2 linked regions of the Oryzias latipes genome follow. The protein of the gene in region 1 interacts with the protein of each later gene in a pairwise test. Links are inferred from orthologs where the notes say so. Each region holds a gene or a part of one and is shown in the gene's direction. Other genes may lie near its edges. The genes, in order: wbp11 and c17h5orf22.

Region 1 (3,925 bases):
TAACACTGAGACTTCACTTGCTCTCGTGTTCACATAGTTGTCAACTGTATCATTATTCTGTGGCCAATATTCTGTGGTCTCCAGCTCAGAGGCCTTGTGGTGGAGGGGTTGTGGTGGAGGTTGTGAGTTCAAATCCACCGCTGAGTCAGATCAAAGACTTTGAAAATGGGACCCAATAACTTCCTGCTCAACACCCAGCATGAAGCGGTTGAATTGGAGGGTTAAACTACCAAATTGTCCTTGATAACATTGTTCCGGAGAACGAATTTCCCCCACCTTGGTGCATGGCAGCTAATGGGACTTTAAAGAAACAGCTGATTTACCACAACCCTTACACTCCTCTTACACCTCCCCACCACAAACACACAACAAAACGATGAAGACGTGGGAGCTCAAAGCCTTCTTCTTCAATGATGTTCTGGTGTATGGCAGCATCATTGGGAAGGTTATCCGTTTAGATGAGCAGCTTCCCCATCTGCATCAGTCAGAAAGAGAAAATGAGCTGTCACAGTTAACCTGAATCTTAACTAAACCTAAGAGCAACAGTTCAATTCCATGTAAACAATACTACTAGCTCTCAGCCAGAAAGGCCAAGTGGGCCCCATATGGTTTAAAAGTGAGCAGAAAATGTGGGCAATTGTCTGCAGTTTCTGTGGTGGCCTCACATTGGCTTAAGTGGGCATTCGGTGAACTGGTCCACTTTTTCTGCCCACTTTTAAACATATTTTGCCCACTTGGCCTTTCTGGCTGGAATCGGTGCTTGTTATTGTCATTGCTTGAAAAATATGTCATTCTATTTTTTAAAAATGTTTTAAACATCACATCATCATGCATTTTTTCATATTGTTAATATTAGTACTCGGTAGTTAGCAATGGCAGTATATTGTGTTTCCATTCTCTTAAAATGGCAAAAAACAATCAAACAAACACACATTTTAATAAATAAAATACTTTATAAATATTTTATTTTGTCAGGCAAATACTAAAGGTCGGCATTTGATTACAAAAAAGAAGATGTTTGGCCATAAAATTAGCAAATAACAAAAACTTTCAAACAAACTAAAAATACTCAACAAAAAGTATCTTATTTTGAAATTTTATGACGTCAAAATCGTGTTTCCGCTTTTGCCCGCGCCAGTAAACATGGCGGACGGCTAACGTTGCATTCATACACATTTAGCCCTAAAGTGTTGGGTTTTCTTTCGGTTGTGGCTTTATTTTTTTGCTTTAGGTGTCACGGAGAGCGTGACAAACCCATCGTGGTCCACCAGGTTTTCCTGAAGTAAAGGTAGAGGCGGCGTTGACTAATTTGTTGCAGTTGATGCTAAAACGGGCGTAGCCACAAGTGCAAGCTAACGCGCTAAGCTAGCGAATCTCTGCTGGAGTCCAAGCTTTTTGCTTCGATATGCTTTGCCAGCAGCCTGAATTCCTTCTTTGTTTTACCAAATTATGTAAAAATAAGAGCCAAGAGTTCCGTGTTTACCTGCTAGCTCAACTATTATAAAGAGAAACAGTTAAACTTCCTTCAAATATTAATTTAGCTTTGTGGGATCATAAAACTTACCATCAGTTTGGTATAAAACAGTAACATCAAGGCACTCTAACCACATTTTAGAATATGATTGTAGTTTTTGTTTGTTTACCTCATTACATCGTTTATTCTGCACTGGTTAGGTTAAACGAGACTGACCGCAACAATGGGGCGACGTTCAACCTCCTCCACCAAGAGTGGGAAGTTCATGAATCCCACCGACCAGGCCAGTAAGTACCGACCCGTGCGAGCAGTGATGATCAGATCCAGTCAACATGACTCATTTGTGTTTGTGTTACCTACCTTACAGGGAAAGAGGCGAGGAAAAGGGAGTTAAAAAAGGTACTTGGACTGTTAAGCTGAATATTTGTTGGCTTTTTTTATTCATTCATTTTTTTTTTCTAAACAATTTTATTCTGGATTGCATTTCTTTGCTTTTTCTTTGCACAGAACAAGAAGCAGAGGATGATGGTAAGAGCAGCAGTGTTGAAAATGAAGGATCCCAGACAGATCATCAGAGATATGGAGAAGCTAGATGAGATGGGTAAGCAGCTCCTATTTGCTTTTTTCACTTTATTTTACATCTTTAACCTCCTAGAACCCAAGTTAATCTTTGAGCTGACTCTCTACACACATAGTCATGTAGCCTCAGTTAAGCAGAATTAACTACTGCGGTATTATAACCCATAAATTGATGTCCATGCATGTGGATAAGCTTTTGAGTCACTCTCCATCCTAATTTAAAATAACATTTTGATTCTTTTTCTTGTCTGCAGAGTTTAACCCAGTTCAACAGCCTCTGCTGAATGAGAAAGTACTGAGGGACAAGAGGAAGAAGCTGCGTGAGACATTTGAGCGCATCATCCATTTGTACGAGAGGGAGAACCCGGAAACTTACAAGGAGCTGCGCAAACTGGAACTGGACTACGAGACCAAGCGAGGCCAGCTGGCTCTTTATTTTGATTCAGTGAAGGTAGCTTTAGTTCTTCCTGATCCTTTTTCCTTCCTTTGTTCACTTAAAGATCCTTTATTCTTTTCTTAAAGTATTAATTACCTTTTGAAAAATTTTAAATTAGGTTTTACCTCCAAGTCACACACACAGTTTGGTTTATTTCAAGTCTTTTTGGCTTTTTTTTTTTTTTTTTTTTTTTTTTTTTCTAGTTGCAGGTGTTAATATTTGCATTTTTTCCTCCAGAATGCCGAGTCAGTGGAGGTCGACAGTATTCCTTTACCTGACATGCCCCACGCTCCTTCAAATATTCACATCCAAGACATCCCATTGCCAGGGGCGCAGCCTCCCTCCATTCTGAAGAAGACCCCTTTTGGGTTGGTTTTGTTCAAGTTTCTCTTCCTGCATTCTGTGGGATGTAATATGTTATTTATTGTTCTCATTTTGTTTTTCATAGCAAGCCACTTCTTTCTTCATCCACTGGACCGGTGATGGCATCAGTACCTGGTGTCCCGCGTTTACCTCCAGGAAAGAAGCCACCAGGGCCCCCACCTGGACCCCCACCTCCTCAGGTCCTGGCTCTCTATGGAATTCCTTCTCGGAGAGCTTACAGCACAAAAGCCGGTAACATTCAGACACATCTATGTCAGTGTGTGTGTGTTTTTTTTAAATCTCCTGCTCCTCTTACCTTTTCTTTTTCTCTGCAAAGAATCCTCCATTCCTGGTTTAGATAGAGACGTGGAAATGGAAAGGGATCAGGACAGTGGCAGTGAGAGCGACAGAGATGACCGGGACGATGACAGCGACTCTGAGGAAGACAGCGAGGAAGAGCGAGAAGGAGGGGACAACGAGCGGCAAGATGACGACAAAAAGAGGGAGGAGAACAAAGACAGAGGTAAAAAAAAAGGAAACAAAGATGCTGATCAGCATCCCTGAGTGCATTTTTTTTAATATAATGTCTTGTGTTTTTTTCTCCGGCTCGTATTCCCGGCAGGTCGGAGTGTGCGTTTTGCAGACATGCCAGCGGAAGGAGATGGGAAGAAAAAGAAGAAAAGAGTTGTGAAAAAGAGCAAAGCCATCACTCCTCTGCAGGCCATGATGTTGAGGATGGCAGGTGAGGACGAGGGCCACATCCACATCTCTACAGCATTACAGCTGCCTTTTATTCTCAATATATTTAAATATTTATATCTATTCGCTGCTTTTCTCTTCTCAGGTCAGTCGATTCCTGAGGAGGATGAAGACGAAGAAGAAGAGGAAGAATATACGGATGGATCTGACAGCTCTGACACAGAGGAGAGGGGATCAAAGGGAGAAAAGCAGCCTCATTCTTTGGCTGGTCAGAATCTGCCTCCTACTGCCGGAAATGTGGCACAGCAAGGTCCTCCACCCATGCAAGGTCCTCCAATGACTGGACCTCCACCTCTCGGCCCACCTCCAGCTCC
Region 2 (3,925 bases), on another chromosome or scaffold:
TAGACTCTTAAATTCTGTCCGTTTCAAAGCTCAGCATCATCTGTGCAGCTGATGAAATTGGGATTCTGACTCCAACAATTCACTTAAAGTCCTTTTTTTGCTAAAATGTGATTTGACATCCCTGGCTCTCCTCGAGCTACAGAGTTGCATTTTACTAGATATATAATAAAAATTCATGAATATTTATTTAAAAGTTATTTAACCAACAGATACTAAAAGACATCTAATATGCTGTCTTTTCTTTTAACAATTGGGTTTTGTTCCATATTAAATTGTTGTCAACAAAACATGAAACGAGCTTCTGCTTTAATAGTTCATTATGTTACTCCTTTTTTTTTCTTTTTTTTTAAACTTGTTCTGTCCAACAGCTGGGCAAACAGATGAGAGCTGAAGGCTTTGAAGATTTATATCAAAATTAAATCCAAAACATAAAGTTCCACAATTTCATTGAAAAAGCTATGACGAATATCTACACGGTTACATGAGAGGACGCGGATGACAGAATAACATGTCTATCAAAAAAAATTCACAATTCATTTTATACTAGGACTCAACTACAGTACGATATGTACAAACAATAACATTTTTTTACATGCAAAAAGAAAATGATACCTTTGACAGTTTGTGTTCCGTTACAACAGTATATTTTACCTTAACAACAGGGGTCATGAATCTTCAGACAAACCAGTGTAACTTTTGTTTTAGAAAAATATTCTGTCTGAACATATTTAATATAAAACATATCAACAACAACATTGACTGTGTTTTAACACACTGACAGGTTGACAAAAACCTGATGTAAAATAAAGAAAAATTCCAAGGTAATTTCTACAAGGATGTAGATTCATATCTGTAAAAAAGCTTACATGGGAAAAATGCAGCATAAATGTGTGGAGAGGAGACGAAAGGAAAAATCCCCCAAAACAATATCCAATTTGTTTAATTTTTGCACTGACCATACTTTTGCTCAAAAAAAATCATGCATAAAGAAAAATTGGATTCTGATTATATTCACGAGAAAGAAAAAAAGCCAGAAAGAATAGTTAAGCCTTTTATACATGATTTGATGAAAGGGTAACTTGTCCAGTTGTGATGATAAAATAAAATCGTCTTAGTTTTTTATTTTATTTATCAGCAGTTAAAATAATAAAAAGTTTAGCAAAAGTAAAATTAAGACGGCATACACTGTAATTTGGACGGCACTGTTTATTATCACCCTGTTTCTACCCGGACACAATAACAGTGACGATCTCACTTTCCCCGCCCCGCGGCATTGAATGTGGAAATTATTATTATTTCTTAATTAGGTGCTTGTTTGTTTTTTTATTATTAAAGGAGGACATACACCTAAGAAAAAAACCGTTGTGTTCACTTTGATATAGGAAAAACTGTAGGTGTTTTCGTGTTTGGATGAGTTCAACGCCGCTAAAGAGGTCGTACCGGGATCTGCCGGTGTGGATCGTGGAGGACCACCACCATGTAAGCAGACAAACATACAAACTTGATTTCCTTAACGTTTATAGCTGTTACTTCAGGATCTATATTAAACCAACAGATGAACAGACGCGTAACTGTAACAACGACTTTAAACTACACCGTTAACCAACCTGATAGCATTTCATCCAAAATAGGCGTGGATATGCTGGAATTACTAGACTCTAGTTAGGGACAGATCTGTATATCACCATTTATTATAATCAATAGAAATAAATGCATATAAATCATCTAAATTCAATGACAGAACACGGCAGGAGTTGTATCATGATATGTGGAGATTTCAATGAACACTCTGGGAGAAAAGAAGAAGAAAACAAAAAACAGTGAGGTCTTTGAGCAATTTATGGATGAGAGAAATTTGGTCCGGATCAATGGTAGGAGGAGGTCACAAATAATTGCACACATAGGGAACATATCAGCACGAGATCTAACACTGTACCGCAAGATCTTGAGCTGACAACACATCAAGGGTGGAAAGTGCAAGGAGACAGACTTTATAGTAATTTTAATGAGGGTTTATGGGGGAAAGGATGTGTGTCAGAGGATAAACAGCGGGTTGGATTTTTGATACACCTAGATGAAATAAAATACATTATATGAGTAAAAAAAAAAAAAGAGAGAATTTGAGACTTTTTACCTCATAAGAAAGAGGCATTTAGGATGATGCAATTAAAGGGTCTAAAGAAGAGCAAACAAATATAGAGAGAAACAGAGGTATCAAGGAAGACCTGTCATTTTAAAATTTAGGAGTATAAAAGATTTCAGACAAAGGTAAGAAAAATCAATAAAAAGACAAAGAGAGCTGGAGAAGATATTGTGCCAAACTAGTCAAACTACCCCAGAAAGTGAACTAAGAAAGATAAAAAGTATTTGAAGAAAATTGAACTTATCCAGTGTGTTATAATTGTGGGGTTTAATAACTATAACTAACAAGAATACATCAGATTTAATAGTTGATGCAATTCATTGTTCAAGGAGGACTTTAAAGCAGTTGATATGAAGTCTCTGGGTAAAAAACAAGTTTCTTATAAAATGCTTTAAAAAAAATCTAATTACTATTCCAACAAGTGATTCCATAAAGGGTTTAAAGATATAGTTGCTGGAAAATTTTGAAACAAATTTGTACATTCTTTTTCATTTTTTACCGCATCGACTCTTGCATAGACACTGTGTGTTTTTATCGATGAAGAACAAAAGTCACATTTTATTGGCCTTCTTTTCAGTCCTTGGCTTTAAAAGTACCGTAAGAAGAATGTGAATTTATCGTATGAAATATCTGCTTTCTGACAGGTGGTGCAGCACATATACAGGGCCATCGCCTCAAGACATCTCCCACCGAGTAATATCAAGATGATTCATTTGGACTCGCACCCAGATCTTCTCATCCCAGTCAACATGTCTGCTGACACAGTCTTTGAAAAAGAAAAACTCTTCAGGTATCGTTCTTGAGTCAAGCAATCAGCCCTTTAGCACTGAATCATGACAAATGACAAAAATCCCTGTACAGGTGGAATGGTTGGAGTGGATACTGCAATATTTAGGGATTAGAGGCAAAGTTTTTGCTGCTCTTCTCAATTCCAGATTATTTGTTTTCCTCCAGTTCTTCAGTTAACAGTGCAGGAAAAACTGTAAAAAGTAAGGACAGCACCGAATGAAGTCTAAGACAGCAGAGCACAATCCTACTCTTGCTCCTGGACTGACCAGGCTTCATGATGTGCTAATGTGGCGAAGAAACAAGACTCCAGTGTTTAGCCTCCTAGGATACAATGTCTTTTGCATTTTGCTGTCCCCATGTCTGTGATGCTTCCTCACTAAGGAAATGTATCTCATCTATTTAGGATTTTTTTTTATTGCTTTCCAGATCAGAATTCAGCGTTTTTCTCATTATACCAGGAAAGGTCTACAGTAGTTTTTATTTTTCTTGCATTGGCTTTTATTTTTATTTCCTTGAAGCCTATTGACACAAATATGCATCAAACCACTTCTGCTCTAACATTTAAAGTTACCTTAATTTAGTATCTACTTGAAAGCAAAAACATAAGTGGTTATTTTTCAAAGCTGATAATAAATTCAGGTATCATGGGGTCAAGAGTGAACTGATTGGACAAAAGCTTTAAAGATCCCAAAGGCCTAGTAAACTGTGATGTTTGCTTCATCATTACTTGAGTTGGTAAATAGATACATTTCAAAGCTAAACAGGCTTTCTATTTTTTTCAGTGAGTTGAGTATTGAAAACTGGATAATGCCCATGGTGTATGCTGGTCACGTGTCCAGTGTGGCGTGGTTGCATCCATACTGGGCCCAGCAAATCCGAGACGGAGAACAGAAAATGTGTGTTGGTCGAGACTCGTCAACCACCACCATCAGGTTAGGACAGAGGTCAAAAGTGGAAGTTTCCTGTTTTTTTTGTAATTCTGGCTTTTCTCTG

What was found.
Region 2: the proteins of wbp11 (region 1) and c17h5orf22 interact in binary tests that used the Homo sapiens proteins (3 or more experiments, as listed by UniProt). The two-hybrid records come from large-scale screens. The link is inferred for Oryzias latipes from reciprocal best matches to the Homo sapiens genes WBP11 and C5orf22.

What each region holds. Positions count from the first base shown.
Region 1 is NC_019866.2:20,478,397-20,482,321, forward strand, and holds the start of wbp11 (WW domain-binding protein 11), read left to right. Parts: upstream 1-1,121; 5' UTR 1,122-1,288; intron 1,289-1,674; 5' UTR 1,675-1,697; coding exon 1,698-1,761; intron 1,762-1,841; coding exon 1,842-1,873; intron 1,874-1,981; coding exon 1,982-2,075; intron 2,076-2,307; coding exon 2,308-2,504; intron 2,505-2,726; coding exon 2,727-2,857; intron 2,858-2,937; coding exon 2,938-3,104; intron 3,105-3,189; coding exon 3,190-3,375; intron 3,376-3,474; coding exon 3,475-3,594; intron 3,595-3,696; coding exon 3,697-3,925. UniProt on the Homo sapiens protein: Activates pre-mRNA splicing. May inhibit PP1 phosphatase activity.
Region 2 is NC_019875.2:13,153,446-13,157,370, forward strand, and holds the start of c17h5orf22 (UPF0489 protein C5orf22 homolog), read left to right. Parts: upstream 1-1,232; 5' UTR 1,233-1,410; coding exon 1,411-1,479; intron 1,480-2,787; coding exon 2,788-2,933; intron 2,934-3,714; coding exon 3,715-3,864; intron 3,865-3,925.